Linked DNA regions of Medicago truncatula. The protein of the gene in region 1 binds, or shares a complex with, the protein of each later gene. Links are inferred from orthologs where the notes say so. Each region holds a gene or a part of one and is shown in the gene's direction. Other genes may lie near its edges.

Evidence for each region.
Region 2: the proteins of probable inactive ATP-dependent zinc metalloprotease FTSHI 5, chloroplastic (region 1) and probable inactive ATP-dependent zinc metalloprotease FTSHI 1, chloroplastic are in contact, whole or in part, in a cryo-EM structure (PDB 8XKV), measured with the Arabidopsis thaliana proteins. The link is inferred for Medicago truncatula from reciprocal best matches to the Arabidopsis thaliana genes emb2458 and FtsHi1. Residues at the interface, in NP_187084.6 of Arabidopsis thaliana: Arg815, Gln902, Lys934, Glu938, Arg942, Pro943, Asp947, Arg948, Thr1148, Glu1149, Ser1150, Arg1151, Ser1152, Leu1154, Gln1198, Tyr1199, Trp1201, Asp1205, Pro1207, Ala1208, Val1209, Tyr1210, Tyr1211, Ala1212, Asn1214, Ala1215, Val1216, Ser1217, Ala1218, Leu1219; in NP_567691.1 of Arabidopsis thaliana: Ser497, Val500, Glu653, Leu656, Arg660, Leu678, Arg684, Gln692, Gly693, Arg696, Arg697, Gly731, Gln732, Leu763, Arg766, Val771, Ile772, Tyr773, Gly774, Ser775, Asp776, Thr777, Ser778, Lys779, Ala780, Val782, Leu785, Ser786, Ser789, Arg793.

What each region holds. Positions count from the first base shown.
Region 1 is NC_053042.1:39,649,806-39,658,778, forward strand, and holds the start of probable inactive ATP-dependent zinc metalloprotease FTSHI 5, chloroplastic, read left to right. Parts: upstream 1-5,137; 5' UTR 5,138-5,240; coding exon 5,241-6,118; intron 6,119-6,848; coding exon 6,849-7,128; intron 7,129-7,487; coding exon 7,488-7,688; intron 7,689-7,781; coding exon 7,782-8,075; intron 8,076-8,170; coding exon 8,171-8,437; intron 8,438-8,730; coding exon 8,731-8,820; intron 8,821-8,908; coding exon 8,909-8,973. UniProt on the Arabidopsis thaliana protein: Required for plastid development during embryogenesis. Might be involved in chaperone functions or play a structural role in the thylakoid FtsH complex.
Region 2 is NC_053049.1:46,229,790-46,238,100, forward strand, and holds the start of probable inactive ATP-dependent zinc metalloprotease FTSHI 1, chloroplastic, read left to right. Parts: upstream 1-4,453; 5' UTR 4,454-4,666; coding exon 4,667-5,286; intron 5,287-5,406; coding exon 5,407-5,494; intron 5,495-6,134; coding exon 6,135-6,569; intron 6,570-6,679; coding exon 6,680-6,733; intron 6,734-6,850; coding exon 6,851-6,916; intron 6,917-7,516; coding exon 7,517-7,612; intron 7,613-7,690; coding exon 7,691-7,819; intron 7,820-8,311. Other genes in the region: protein MAIN-LIKE 1-like, read right to left, coding at 534-935. UniProt on the Arabidopsis thaliana protein: Functions in chloroplast biogenesis and chloroplast division. Required for plastid development during embryogenesis. Might be involved in chaperone functions or play a structural role in the thylakoid FtsH complex.

The sequences.
Region 1 (8,973 bases):
TTACCTCTAAGACTTGTTTTTCAAACGTGGAAACTCAACAACCTCACAGACAATTTGCAAGAGAAATAGTTCAAAGCTTCAAAAACATAAATCCTAAAATTAGAGACAAAATAGAAATAGGAAGAATATATAGGAATGGTTGGAAAGGGGTTACCTTTGTGTCACACGAAACATGGAACGGAAGCAACTATACTTGAAAAAACTATTTGATGAATGATAGTTACAGGAATAAGCATGAACAAAATTAATGGCCATGGATCTTGTTTGGAGCCGTAAGGTAAATCAAGAGGATGGTGTGGGATATATCAAAAGAGGGTCATGAAATTAAAGAGAAAAGTGAGAGAGATTGAATTACATGGCCAGAGAAGAAAACGTGAGGTACATCACATACCAACATAATGAATAATTAGGATGAAGAGGCATGAAAATGAGTTATAATATTTTGATGATGTGAGACTGACAAGTAGCACGGTTACGAGAGTTAGAGAAACATATAAGGGATTTTGCAATATGAATTGAGATGGACTAAAATAACTACTTAAGAGAATAATACTCCACTCAATCAATCCTAAATGTGGGTTATGGTTATGGAGGAACCGTAAATGCCACTAACTACCCTAATTACTAATTAGTCAAGTTATGAACTATTCATAGCATAATTATGGAAAGTATTTGATACGTGAAGTGTGAATTCCTAATATTTAGCAAGACATGCTCTTAAGCTAATTAACAAGAGTGAATAATGAGGGAAACATGTCCTCTGACCGAGCAAATAATAGAGAAGCTCATGGTCAAATTATTAGTAGTATAAATTGAGTAAAAATATTATATTCCACCAATAAAATAAATAGGCTCCAAAGTTATAAGAGTTTCCTTACACTCCTAACGCATCATTAGTAAATTATAAATCTATAAAAAAAATATTTTGAAGGCCATAAATAATATCTAAAAATATCGGGATGTTACAACATGTGTGTTCGATAACGTAAGATCTAACGATTTAAAACAAATTGTGATACGATCGCGGTTTTTTAAGTCATTTATTTTTGTACGTGTGTCTTGACTTTTAGAAAGTGTTGTGTGGTCTACTAGTCTAATTAAAGATATATTTTATATATTTGTCGAGAAAAAAAATCTAGTTGATATTAAAGTTTTTTCAAATCAGACAAAATCAACTCATTTCATTATTCAGTCAATGGTTAATACAAGAAGAGACATAGTCAAAAACTTGGTGATTGGCAAAAGAAATTGTCGTTTTAGCTAAATAATGAGTTTTCGTATTTGTTTGTCTCCTTGCAACTTGATATTGATAGAAATCTAATATTCAAATTATTTTTTCCAGTTCTAACATGGATATTTTTGAATCAATAAGTAATGTCACACTTTGTATTCCTATCTTCTGAATCCAATGCGTCGCATTCAACAACACCATTGCATTGCCTTCATGAACCTGCGTATTAGATCGGGACCATCAAATTAGCGTCTTCGCAAACGTTTCAGCCAATAAAGAAGTTAACATAAACACGACAAAGAAACTCCTTTTTGAACCAGTGGTTGATTGATTAGATCTCACAAATTGCCCCTAAACCAAATTTGTGAATTATATGACCATGGTGGAGACTTCTATAATCATTTACCTTGAGGACAAAGTGAATATTTTTTTGGAGGACTATAGTTAGAACTGACAGTTTATTTTATTATTGTTATTATTATTATTATTATTAGTAGTAGTAGTATTAAATATTCTTTGTGTAGTAACCGCTTGTAACTGTTGTTGGTAATCAGAATTATAAATATAGGTTGAAAGTGAAAAAGGAGGATATCATATATTATGTATACGAGTTGGTTTGGGAGAGACTAGACTCTATAATTCCTAAAGGTTTGTTAGTTTTATCAAATCACTTTCATGTGCCAACAATTTGTTAATGTAACTATCTCTATTGACATAGAATTATCATTGGTGTTTATTCATATATGAACCACTAATGGGTTATTTCCACCCTTTTCTGATCTTAATTTAGTTTAGGTGTCTTCATGAAAATTGTAGGTATGAATGTTAACTTTTATTTGTTTTTGGTTTGACTCCATTTAGACATCTACAACTTGAGATGTGATTAAAATACTACAAATGAGGCATATTGCGTTTTTGTGGAATTTCAACATAAATCCTTCAATGGACTCTAAAACATTATTAAAACAATAATAAGGCTAAGATAGAGATAGATAGAAGTGTGTACGACCATAATGAACAATTAAACTGGTGAAATTGTTTAAGATGAATTAATGATAATAAGTTAGATTGGAATAAGGATTATGATGGTCAGAAAGGTTTTGAGGATGAAACTTAGAACATGTTTCAGTATAGTCGATGAAATAACCTTAGTATGCAGTAACGTATTCAAATGATAGGAAGATGGACTTAATGAAATAATTTTCATTGGTAATGAGTGAGTATGAGTAGAGAAACTTAGCAATTTCGATAATAGAAATTAGATGATGAATTGAATTGGTAAATTAGTAAATGACAGGTTGTGATGGTTATTTAATGATGTGAATATAATGTATAATTGTAAGAAGTGGAAATTGGAAATGTGTATGTAGAGTTGTGATATACGAAGATGTGTTATGGATGTGTTGATATAAAAATGTGTTATAGATGTGTTGATATAAAGACGAATCAATGATGAATATTTGATGATATATGTTGATGTGGTCTTTTAGTATTCATGCATTCATGGCCCAGTCTATCTAACGATGTTGTATTTTACGATGGTGTGGATAAAATCAGTAACATACATCTGATGTCCTTAATATTTGATGATGGTGATTGATAGCGATTTTCGCAAGTGTACGAAATCGGGCAAGTGGTAAACTTAAAACGGTAAGACCGAGTGTCGAATTCAAGGATTGCGATGTACTGTCGAACTGTAGTTTTAGAACTTAGTTGAAGAAAAAGGTACGAGTATGTTGTTTGTAATTTTTTTCAACAACGAAACTTGAATAAAAGTCAACTATAATAAAAATGTTTCAGGGATGAGTATGACTTGGTTACTAACTTTGCACTATTAATCTGATTCTATAAGCTGAATTCATTCTTCATGTTGCTATTAGTTTTCTAGATTGTGTAATTCTAGTCTCTCAGCGACTAAACCTTTAACCTTGAGATAACCCCTAATCTTTTAGTGAATTTAAAATCAAGATTAAACATATAAATATTTGAAATTATAATGATGTGAAGGGTTCGCATCTATCTCAAAACTACGAAGGCAAAAATATTTAATCTCAAACATTCATAAATTCCACTCTCAATTCAAACCGTAAATCACACATCAGACACCTCAATTAAATTAAAGAAGAAGAAAAAATTATAGTCTAAAAGGAACAATGTTTTAATTTTACCAAGTAGAAGAAAAAGTTTTAACTCAATTAATAGGGATATTGTATAATACATGCAAGTGTGAAGTTCAAATCCCAGACACCTCAATTATTAATCTTAAAAATGTGAATTCTTAGTCACAACCTGAAATAATTTTGGCCAAATACGTCTGCGCTCGTTTAAGACTAGGTTTTTTTTTGTTACAGATTGATCGCTTAAATCATAAAATATTCACATCATTAATCTATTTTTATCAAACTCGGTTAAAAAGTTTTTATGTAAATGTTTAATGTTAAGTTTATATTTTCAAATTCACCGCTCACAATAACAAGGTTCGTACATGCATTATTTAGTTTTGATTTGAAATAATATTTGATCGGTCACTTGATTTATAATACCGTTGATGAAATATTTATCCATAGAATTAAACTTGAATTCAAAAGGATTAAATTTTATAGCAAATTTTGTGTTTAGTCCTTATAAAAAAATAACATATTTTGATCCCTATGAAAATTTCCAGCACAAAATTTTTGTTCTGTTAAATAAAAATTTATTGATTAAACTTATAATTTTTTGAATAATTTTGTATAGACACGTTGAAATCATTATAAGATACTTTGTTTATGAAAAAATCATATTTTTTTAACATGTAATAAATTAAACATGAGTTTTTTCAAATGTAAAAAATTTAAAATGAAAGTAATGAAAATTTGGACCTAAAATCAAATTTTGAGCTAATATTTTTTTTGCAGAGAACTCTATATAATGTTATAAATAAGCATGTTAAAAATCATTCAAAAATTTAAAAATTCAAACACAATCAAATAAATTTTAATTTTACAAGGACTAAAAGTATGCGTTGAATTTTTTTATATGGATCAAAACATGCCCTTTTTTTACGAGGAGCAAAAATAAATTTTACTATATTTATAGGGATAAAAAACTTATTTAACCCAATTAAAAAACAAGAAGAAGAATTTGTCAAAAAACAAAATAAAAAAGAAGAATAATACGTGGCTAAGTAATCATGTTTGATATCATAAATACTTTTAGACTTATCAATTTAATGTAAAACAATTTATAAGTACTTTATAACGAAGTGAATTGAAAAAATTAATAATGGTGTAAATATTCTAGGGTTAATTAAGTTTTTGGTCCCTATAAATATCTGCAGTTTTGTTTTTAGTCCTTATAAAAATAAATCACACTTTTTAGTACCTATAAAATTTTCCATTAGTGTTTTTAGTCCCTGTTAAATTAAAATTTGTTTAATTATGCTTAAAATTTTATATTTTTAAATGATTTTTAACATACATGTTAAGAACATTATAATAATCTCTTTTATAAAAAATTAGAATTTTTTAACATGTAATGAATTACATATAATTTTTTTAAAACGCCAAAAATTCAAGATAAAACTAACGAAAATTTGGACCTAAAAATAAAATTTTGAGTTAATTTATTTTGGCGGAACCTTTTATAATGTTTTAAACAAGTATGTAAAAAATCATTAAAAAATTTAAAATTTTAAGCATAATTAAACAAATTTTAATTTAACATGGACTAAAAACATTAACGGAAAATTTTGTAGGGACTAAAAAGTGTGATTTATTTTTATAAGGATTAAAAACAAAACTGCAGATATTTATAGGGACCAAAAATTTAATTAACCCTTAAAAAAATTTAGACTAATATCTAAAAAAAACTTAAAATTAATCGGTTATAAAAATCTAATTTAAATGATGTTAGATGATAATAGTCAGTCTCTCTTCTCTGGTGTTCTTCCCTAAAACCCCTTTCGTTCAAAAATCTCAGGATAACGCTGCTACTCAAACTCAAATTCAATGTATATCTAAACTGATTCATGGATTCCATTCTCTATTCTTCTTCTTCACCACCTCTTCGATTTCCATCACACCTTCCTTTCACCTCTTTCCGCCCCCTTCCAAATCATACACTCCTCTTCAAACCACCACGCGCTTCCATCACTCTCTCCGCAAATCAACAAAACAACCACACCGTTTTATCCCAACCAACAAACTCAACTCTTGTTTTATCCCAATGCTGCTTAACAAAACAACTCATTCTTCGCGCTTTATTCTGTTTCGCCGTCGGTGTTTCCACCTTCGGAACATTCCAAATTGCGCCCGCGTTTGCACTTCCGACGATACCTTGGGTTCAATTTTTGAGTAAGAACAAAGAGAACAAGAATCAACACGAGTATTCTGATTGCACGCAAAAAGTGTTGGATACTGTGCCGAGTTTGTTGAGGACTATTGAAGAGGTTAGGAAAGGGAACGGTGATTTTGAAGATGTGAAACGAGCTTTGGAGTTTGTGAAATTGAAGAAATATGAAATGGAGAAAGAGATTCTCGAGAGGATGCATCCGGTTTTGATGGATTTGAAGGAGGAGTTGAGGTTGTTGCAGATAAAGGAAGGTGAGATTAGTTGGCAGATGGCGGAAGTGAACAGGGAGCATAGAAAATTGATGGGCTGGGAGATGGATATGAAGGATAATGTAGTGAATGAGGTGGAGAAGAAGGTGTTGGACAAGAGAATGGTGGAGTTGGAGAAGAAATGGAATGAGATTTTAGTGAAAATTGATGAAATGGAGGATGTCATTTCGAGGAAAGAGACGGTGGCGTTGAGTTATGGGGTGTTGGAGATTTGTTTTATCCAGAGGGAATGTGAGAACTTGGTGGAGAGATTTAAACAAGAAATCAAACAGAAGAAAATCGGAAGGTTGAATTCTATGATTCGATAGCTTGATAATGCATTCATTTTTAACACTAATCACATGTCATGTGTGTTTGTATTCATTATTACTTGTAGTTTTCTATGTGTAATTATATGGATATGGAGGTTTTATTTGATAAATAGTTAAGTTAAGGGAGTGGCCTGGTGGTATATGACTTGGGACATAAAGAGTGTGCTCTTCTCTAGGTGCTAACATTTATTGAGTTGGGCCAGTCCATATAGGTTTTGCTCTGGCTTCAATTTGGCCCGAGCCAGTGGATGGTGAAATGGGTCTCCTGGATTACTCGGTCCTTGGACCAGATACCGAGTTTTCAGAAGGAAAAAAAAGTTAAATTAAGAATGGATTTTAGGTTTTTTAGGCAGTGACTTCTCTACTATTTAATAATTTTGGAATATTTGTAGTATCTTGTTACCGTTGTTTATTTACTTGGCCGAAGTGCTTAGTTGAAGTCTTGTAGAGAGAAGTTGACTTTACATCTTGACTGGGACTGAATCTTATATCTTGAAATTGTGTTTGAATTGGAATATCTTAGAATTAAGATCGTATAAAACTGTTGTTATCTTAATCGATTTGATTGACAGCGACACAATTTGTTTTCAATGTTGGATGCAATAGCTTGGTTCGTTGCATAATGTCTTGTCATGCTAGTTAGTTTTTCCTACAACTCTGTTGAAACTGTATGTGATTATGCAAACGTTTTTCATGTGGTTGCAGTTCATTCGCAAGCTCAGTTAACAAGCTATCAAAATCCGTCATTCAAGAAGACTTGGAAACTGTGCAAAGAAAGCAAATAGAGCAAACTATTCTTCCTAGCATTGTGGATGTTGATGATCTCGGGCCATTCTTTCATCAAGACTCTGTTGATTTTGCCCAACATTTAGAAAGAAGTCTCAAAGACTCAAGGGAGCAGCAGAAGAATTTAGAGGCCCAGATAAGGAAAGATATGCAGTATGACAAGGAAAAGCGTAGTGTTGTGTACTCACCTGAAGAAGAGGTGATTAAGGGTTTACTTATTTGTATTTTCTATGAACAATTCTTTGGAATTCGAGAAACAAAAATGTCTTATATGCTGCTTACTAAGTAGAATGGTGATTAGACAGGTCAAGTTGTGATGCAAATTGCAATTCGTTCCCTTTGATATTCATTAATAATAATCTGTCTTTTTTTGAAGGCATAATAATCTTTGTCTTGTTAGTTAAATATCATATATATTATATTTGATTCTCATGTTTTTTTTTCTGCCCATCAATGTTGAGGTGTTGATGGTGGATATATTATTTTTAACATATGTTTTTCTGCACATCGGAAGGCATTAGTGCGTTCCTTTCACTACTCACTACTTATCCATTGCAGGAAAGGATTCTTTTGGACCGAGATAGGGTAGTGTCAAAGACTTGGTACAATGAAGAGAAAAATAGATGGGAGATGGATCCAGTGGCTGTTCCTCATGCTGTCTCAAAAAAGCTAATAGAGCATGTTCGGATTAGGTATGATGGGCGTGCAATGTATATTGCATTGAAGGGGGAGGACAAAGAGTTTTATGTAGACATAAAGGTATAACTGTGTATGCATCTGTGTATATTCTTCTATTTCTTATTTATTTTAAATTTCTTGTATGGTGATTATTTGTTTGCTTTCATATTTCAGGAATTCGAAAGGCTTTTTGAATATATTGGGGGTTTTGATGTGCTATATAGGAAAATGCTAGCCTGTGGTATTCCAACAGCTGTTCATCTAATGTGGATTCCGTTGTCAGAGTTAAGTGTGCACCAACGGATTTCTGTGATATTAAGGTTCCCTCTTCGATTTTTGAGTGGCCGGTGGAATTCCGAAACTGTCTTGACTACAACAAATTTGATCTTTGACAATATTAAGGAAATGACTGATGACATAATGACAGTGATAGGGTTTCCTATTGTGGAATATATACTCCCTAACCCGGTATCCTTGAGCCCAAAACTCGCCATGTGCTAATTCAGGTTATTGGTTTGGAATAATAAGTTTTTGAAACATTTGTTGTATTATTTATGATACAGGTGAGGGTAAAATTGGGAATGGCTTGGCCAGAGGAAGAGACAATGAACACTCCATGGTACTTGAACTGGCAATTAAATGCAGAAGCAAGAGTTCAATCCAGACGAGCAGATGGTGATTTTCGATGGATCATGTTGTTTATCGCAAGAGCTGCTATTTCAGGATTTGTTTTGATTAACGTGTTCCAATTTATGAGGAGAAAAATTCCAAGACTTCTTGGTTATGGTCCTATCCAAAAAAATCCGAATAGGAGGAAACTTGAGCAAATGGTATAAGTTTGCTCTTGCAGTTAGCATACGCTCAACCTCATGATATCAAATTTCCTTTTTTTTTGAAGGGTGGAGCTAAAAGTGTAGTTTGTAACTTCTGCTTTTATATATCTGCATCTCTTTGTTGTTTTAGGTTGAATGATGTATATAGTTTGTTAGTTCTCTCTCTCTACATAGATAGATAGGTAGACAGATGGACAGATAGATAAATAAATACATAGATCTTACGACAGAGACCATGGTGCAACTTATAGTTAGGCATTATAATTATAATTTTCATTGCTGTTTTTCAGGCTTATTACTTTGATGAAAGAAAGGGACGTATGAGGGATAGGAGAAGGGAGGGTGTTGATCCTATAAAAACAGCTTTTGAGCACATGAAGGTTAAAATTTTGCAATTAATTATTTTCTGTTTTAGTACTGTTTACTATTCATCTAGGAAAAACTGTAAGACTTGTAGCTGTTCTGCAGAGGGTGAAGAAACCACCAATACCATTGAATAACTTTTCTAGCATTGACTCTATGAAAGAGGAAAT
Region 2 (8,311 bases), on another chromosome or scaffold:
GCAGTAAGCGATAATGGTGCATATCTGTATGCCCTCTGCTAGTAAGTCATTTCCCAACACATGGTCTCTCTGGCTTCCAGCTCTTGTTTTTCTTCCTTGGGTACGGACCTGGCAAATGCTTCAAAATCCATCCATGTAACAAATAAATAAAATACATTATAAAAGCTTCACATAAATATTTAAATTAAATCCTAAATAAATGTAGTCTAACTTAGGAAAAAATAATCTAACATGATAATAAAAATTATAAAATAAATTCATAAAGAAATATAGATAAATATCAAATTATTATCATAAAAAGAGTGGTACTCACAACCATCGTTCTGTTATTCAGAATAACAGAATCATCCAGATAGTCGTACAGGTAAGCTAAGGTCATCCCTCTCCATGATCACTTCCCAATCGCCTGCAAGTTCGCCATACAATCAAGATATATCAAGTCGATGTGTCTGTTCGTTTTGTTAGTGAACAACGCGCAACCGACGAGATATAGAAGGAAACCCCTCACACACCACACCCTCCTCCTGCCTCTCTCATGATGCTCCTCCCTCGTCTGTGGCTCCTCCAGCCGTGGGATAACTAATATGACCAGCAGACTCAGTCCTAACCTCAGCCCTAGCATCAGCATCTGACATGCCCAACAACCTGATCATCAAATCAATCGCACGGTCCCGATCCATTGCCTCGTCGTGGTCCAACATGCGGCCGTGAATATGAATGTGTAGGAGATTATGCACATCATCCAAAGTGATCGTCATCTCCCCCACAGGTAGATGAAAACTACTGGTCTCCATGTGCCACCTCTCGCACATAGCACGTATCATGGCATGGGTGACACTAGAATATCCCGTGTATATCAAATCATGTAAGCCAGACCCCTCCACAGGCTCCCAAAACCACCTCAAACCCGCCTCCGGCTTACCAAGCTCTTTCATCTTTTTCCTTGCATTTATACACTTGTAACCCGTCTAATCATGCCACATCTGAAATTCAAATTAATTAAGACATTGTCACTATTTTATATAATTAAAACACTTACGCTACATAATATTATATAATTAAAACACTAACGCTACATTCTTTTAAATAATTAAAACACTTACGCTACATAATATTATATAATTAAAACACTAATGCTACATAATATTATATAATTAATACACCAACGCTGCATTCTTTTAAATAATTAAAACACTTACGCTACATAATATTATATAAACACTAACGCTACATTCTTTTAAATAATTAAAACACTTACGCTACATAATAATAAATAATTAAAACATGTACGCTACATTCTTTTAAATAATCACTTTAAAGCATTTAAAGAATTTTAAACAATTTAAACACTTACATTATGATGGTTCACCCAAAGAGGGTTCGCCATGTGCCTCGCGTAGTTGGACAATAGTGATGTGGTCTCAGGTCCTCAAGGAAAGGGAGGCCCTCCAACAAGATATGGCGGTATGGGCGGAATACGACGACGTCGTCGCTGAGTCTGAGGCTCAGGCTCACCCTCAAGAATAATATTCTCTGCCTCAAGATAATCCGCCACAACATCATCTGGCACCTCCTCATCCTCTGCCTCGTCCTGCGGCGGGTAAAACATTATATCCTCCTCCATCCGATCATATCCAACAAAACCCTCCTCATACACAGCCTTATCATGTGCCGATGTCGGATCAACCACCTGGGAGGAGTAATCCATCTGTGAATGTGAACCCGACCCATCTCCTCCACCTATCCTCAAGTCCCTACGTCTCCGGGTCTTTGGAACACACGGGTGTTCAACCTCCATCTCCTTTCGAACGCTATTTGTCATAGCAGGTTTACCTTTGCGCACCCTACCCTCTCTAATACGCCGCTCCCGCGCATCCTCCTTATTAGCCATATCTGTACAAAAACAAATTAAAAGAAGACATAAAAATTCAAATATTATGTAACATGTAACATTATATCATAAAAATTATCCAAACATTATATCATAAAAATCCAAGCTATTGAACCTAAGACAAGTAACATGTAACATGTCACAAATTTTACTTAGACATTCATAAAAATTCAAACTTAGAATCATTCAACTTGGGCATTTCATAAAAAAAAATTACGTATCGTATAAAATTATGTCATTCTTAAACTTGCAAAAAAATGTCAAAATCCGACCTTATAATAATTAGGCTTATTAGATCGTTTGGTCCCTTATTTAATTTCATGTTTTCATTTTGGTCCCACAATTAATAAAAGTGGCGTTTTGATCCCCCACGTTTGTCTCCGTTTGCCAAATAAATCCGACTGTTAATTTTAACCCCAAATGATGTCTTTGGTGGACCAACCTTAAAAGTGGTCCACCATAGATCCTATTAATTACTTTAATTTCAACCGTTTGATTTTTTCAAAAAAAAGAGAACCATTGAATTAGGCAGGTCTATGTGATTTTACGGTGAGTCAATAACATCTAATTAATTTTCTCTTTCTTCTTCTTCCCCACACTTCTTCATCATCACATTCATCAATACCATCATCATCTTCATCAACATTCCCGGGGGGAAAAAAAACAGAAATCCCAAAAATCTCAATTTCTTTTAAAAAAAAATCGATAGAATTTCTTTAAAAAAATTCTGCATCCTTCTCTTCTCTCTTTGATCCCTTCTTTGTATTCTTTCTCTTCTCTTTTCCTATAAACATAACAACCCATTCAACACTAAATGTTTTTTTTTCCAAACCCATAAATTCAAATCAAATCTGGAAATCTTCATCAAAACCCAAAGGCAACAATAACAACAACAACAACAAAATTCGAATTGAAATCCAAATCCAACAATAGTAACACCACCCTCCTCCGCGTCGCTCCGGCAACACCATCTGCACCGCTCTCTCTCCCCCTAAAAAAACCAGATCTACAAAAGAATTTAACATCGAAGAAGTTTTGAGTGAAGTAAGTTGAATGGTGAGTGAAGATTGAAAAAAATCAACAAAGTTGTTAATCTTCATCGTTTTTAATCTTTCCACTACCAACCACATAAACAAAGTTGTTAAACAGCCCAATATAGACATGCAAATTGAAAGAAATTCTCCAAACACCAACACCTGAATCCAAAATGGTCGACGAAGCAACATCGGAAACTTTATCGGAACAAATTGGGGCATGAATCTCAGAATTTGTGGTCTTATTAACGCGAAAGAGTTTAACGGTTCAGAAATTGTGAAAGTTATTAAGAGAAAGATTAATCATAAGAGTCCTGTTGTTCAGAAACATAGTCTTGATTTGTTGGAAACTGTTGCTATGAATTGTGATAAAGTGTTTTCTGAAATTGCTTCTGAGAAGGTTCTTGATGATATGTGAACGGAGGTGATGACGAATTTGAGTCTGGAATGTGGAGGAGTTTGGGAAATTAGTTTTATTTTTTTTATTTTTATGTTGAATGTTGTTGTTATGTTACTGTTGAATGTTGTTGTTATTTGTTGTTCTAATTTCTGTTTTGCGAAGAAGAAGAAGAGAAAGATGGAAGTTCAGTTTTGGACATGAAGAAGAAAGGGGTAAATTGGTAGTTACACATGTGTTTGGTCTCATTGAGGACAAAACAGTCCATTCACATGTGAAAATCTAACGGTTCCTTTTATGATAAATAGATCGAATGGTTAAAATTAACAAAATTAATAAGGTCTACGATGGACCACTTTTAAGGTTGGTCCACCAAAGACATTTGAAGTTAAAGTTAACAGTCGGGAATTATTTGGCAAACGGAGGAAAATATGAGGGATCAAAACGCCATTTTTATTAATTGTGAGACCAAAATGAAAACATGAAATTAAATAAGGGATCAAACGATCTAATAAGCCTAATAATTATAACATATATACATTATAAGATTTAACATATTTGGAAAAAAAATCACAAAAAAAGCAAGATTATTTTACTTAGGCATTTCATCAAACACCTTATGTGCATTTCAAAATACTAGCACAATTAGTGTTAATTCAACATCAAAAATTCAACTACGTTGTACCTAAACCTACTATAAACAACAATGCAAACATAAACAATCACTTACAACATCTAATTCTATCATAATTTGCAATTTTTAAACATAACCTAACCCTAAACATTTTGCTAAAATTATGAAAATAACACCCTAAATAACCTACATTGCATGTAAATAGGAAGAAAGGTTTGGGTGATTTATTTGAGGCAAATTGGATGATTTTCCTCCAAATGAAGGATTGGGTGAATTTTGATTAAATTTGGAAATGTTTGCATTCGTTTTTGTAAACCAGAAACGACAGTTTCTGCATTCTTAACTTACAGAATGCAACGACAGTTAATAACCGACAGTTTTTCCAACGATAATTACTACCGCTGGGGTTTTTTAATAAATTATTTGTGTCAATAAGAAGTATTCGATGTCCAAAAAAACAATTTCTTTATTTAATGTTTCATTCTCTCTTCACACACAAAATGGGGCATACAATCATCTTACCCGACCCGGTTAGAAAAACCATCTGAGATGAGGTTTATCGGATTGGGTGGGAAATGAAACCATTTTGCAATTTCTTCATCTTCTTCTTCTTCTTCTTCTTCGCGCATTTGCATTGTTCATCATTCTCAAAACCCTAATTCGATAAACTCTTTCAGTGTCACATTCATATATGAATTCACCATAACGCTATGAACATTTTCTGCTACCCCAGCAACAATTCCTATCACATTCACACTCACCACCATAAAACTCTTCATTCCAATCACAACAGAAAAACGCAATTTCTTATTCGTAAACCATTCACAGTTTTCTGCAAATCCTCTTCCAATTCCGATGCCGATGATTTCGTCAAACGAGTTTTAGAAGAAAATCCAAGCCAAGTCCCACCTAAATATCTAATCGGTAACAAGTTATATACTTCACAACAAAAAGACAATTTAGGTCAAAAATCAAATGAGGGTCTTTTTGATTTGTTGTTGAAGAGATTGAAGAATAATTCTCAGAGGAAAAGTGGTGAGCTTTATGAAGAGAGAGATGATTCTGTGTATTTGAATGATTTGCTTAAAGAGTATAAAGGGAAACTCTATGTTCCTGAACAGATTTTCGGTACACCGTTGTCCGAGGAGGAAGAGTTTAATGAGAATTTGAAAACTTTACCCAAAATGAGCGTTGAGGATTTTACTAAAGCTTTGAGTAAAGATAAGATTAAGTTGGTAACTTCTAAGGAAGATTATGGATATGGTTATAGGGATTATATTGTGGATTTGAAGGAAATTCCAGGTGATAAAAGATTGCAGGCGACGAAATGGTAAAAGAAAAATGAAAGTTGATGTTTTTGTTTGATTATATCCTATGTGGTTTTTATAGACTTTGTTCTGTGTGCATTGTGGTGTTGTGATAGATTGTGTGTGTGTGTGGAATTCTGTAGGGTTCTAAGGGTGGATAGCAGTGAAGCTCGAGCAATTTTGGAGGAATATTCTGGACCACGATATGAGATAGAGAGTCGTCGAATCACGGTTGTTGATCTATTTATTTGTAATACTTAAAAATTAATTTACGAGGCATTGACATTGTTGGTGCTAACAGGGGAAAATCAATTATTTTTGCTGTTTTTAAGTTTCATTTAATTTTTCCAAGGGTATGCGGCTTAGGAAAATGTTCTGTTTTAATTTCATATTTTCAGTTTTAATTACAAAACAGACTTAGGGCCCGTTTGGATTAACTTATTTTAGAGCTTATATAAAACAGCTTATGCAAATAAATAAGTTTTTATGTATTATTTATAAGTTTTTAAGGTAGTTTATGAAAAAACCGTTAATGAAGATACAATTTTCGTTAATGAGAGGTTATAAATTAAAATAAAAGCTTATTTATTTACATAAGCTATTTTTCATAAGCTCAAAATAAGCTTCCCCATACATATAGTTGAAAATTGGAAATAGACTTAAAAAGGAGTTGTATTGTTGAAATAAAAAATAAAAATAGAAAGCATTTTCTCAAGCCAAATAAATTTAAGTTACTATACATTTTCTTGCATAGTTTGTAGTTAGAGACTCATAGCTTAAGTCATTCAGCGTACTGAATAAATGGATAAAATCCTTTTGTAGGTGAACGTATTGCAATTGCTCTTTTAACTCTGAAATTATATTGTTGCAGTCTTGGGTGGGGAAAATGTCAGTGTCCCCTCATCCAGCTGCAGCTTCCATATCTAGCAGAGTGGTGGCCGAGCTTGGAGCGGTGACAGTCGTAGTGGGTTTAGCAGCACTTCTAGTTGGTGGCTTCCTTTCAGCAGCAGTATTTGTTGTCACCAGTTTTATATTTGTGACAACCGTCTATGTTGGATGGCCTATAGCCAAACCAATTCTTAAGTTTTCCCTTGGAGTTGCTGTTTCAATGCTGGAGAGGTTTTGGGATAGACTTCTTGACTTTTTCATGGACGGTGGCTTGTTGGCTAAGACTTATAATTTGTTGACTGTTGGTGGTTTAGCTTCCACCCTCGATGTCCTGAAAGTGACCCTGCCTATAGTTGTGGGTATGGTCCTTCTTGTTCGCTTCACTCTTTCAAGAAAACCCAAAAACTTCAGGAAGTGGGTAGGTGATTTAACTAAGTGATTCACTCATAAAGTTACGCATGAATTTTTGAGCCAATTTTGTTCAATGGATTTGGTGTACACTCTAAGAGATTTTAATTCAATATACAGGATCTATGGCAGGGAATGAACTTCTCATTATCAAAAGCTGAAGCTCGTGTTGATGTTTGTTAATGCCTATCTTTACATTAATCTCTCCATTTTTAAAGTCTTTTCATTTTTTATTTTTCTAGTCTTTTAATGTCATTCTTAGTTTCTGGATTTGGAAAAACATTCTTTCAGGGTTCAACTGGAATAAAGTTTTCTGACGTGGCTGGAATCGATGATGCTGTAGATGAACTTCAAGAGGTATGGATACATGGGTGGAGAGAGATTCGAGAGATGCTGGTCTCCCCACATTTAAAAACCTTTTTAAATAAATTTATATACGAGTTTATTGGAGATGCATTGTCGGTGTAAATTTAATGACAGCTTAGGGTCCATTGTCCACTCCCCCTCCCTCCCCAGTTCATTCATAATAGAGGCTTGGGCTGCAGGCAATTGCTCGTATAGTCCCAGCCCATTATTTTATGCAACTCTACTAGACCATCAAAACATCTCATTTTACTTTTGCTTTCTGGCTGATTCAGCAGCTCACAAATATGAAAGTTTCAACTTGATGCGTGGCTGCAGACAATTATGAACAGTCCATGACACTTCATAAAGAAAACATTGAAGAAGCCATAACTTATATTAACTTTTTAACGATTTTATACAATCATTTTGAATAATTTAACTTTTTTTATTGGTCAAGTTGGATAATTTAACTTTATCCCTCTCAATAGTTATTATTTCCTGGAATTTTCCACCTTTATTTTATTTCTGTTTTATGCCTCGTATTCGTAGTCTCTGCTTACTGTTTATTGTAGTGGGTGAAAACTTATGAAGGTTATGTATTGTTCTCTTTAGTTGGTGAAATACCTAAAAAATCCCGAGCTATTTGATAAAATGGGGATCAAACCCCCACATGGTGTTCTTCTGGAGGGCCCACCTGGATGTGGCAAGGTCAGATTGCTATTCCGCAGTTATGTTGGATGTTAGAATTTGTGTTATCTGTGATATGTTTTTGTCATGCTTTTGCAGACCTTGGTAGCCAAAGCTATAGCTGGTGAAGCTGGTGTTCCATTTTACCAAATGGCTGGATCAGAATTTGTGGAATTTTTAGTTGGTGTTGGTTCTGCACGTATAAGGGATTTGTTTAAAAGAGCCAAGGTGATTCTACGACTTTTTCTTTTGGATTTTTTTAAGCAGTGTATTGCTGCTAAAGTACAAATGCGATCACATGCTTGAATCCTGTCTTCTTGTTCCTTCACCCAATGTACATTTAACTTATTAAGCATCACATGCTACTGATTGTTCTGATCACAGAATCCATTAGTCTTCGTGAATGAGTAGGTGAATATATATATAGGACATATACTATGAGAATGAGTACTTTATATGAGAATGATGAGAATGATTATCAACCATTAGATCAAAAATAAATGGTTGTGATTAAAAAGTCACATATATGCCATCACCATTTATTTTTGATCTAATAGTTGATAATCATTCTCATCATTCTCATATAAAGTAGTCATTCTCACAGTATATGTCCTATATATATATATATATATATATAGAAGGGATCCGTTGACTCCAGGAGTAAGTGTAAAGACTTACTCCACATCTTAACCATCTATTTAATTATTAGTTAACGGCTAG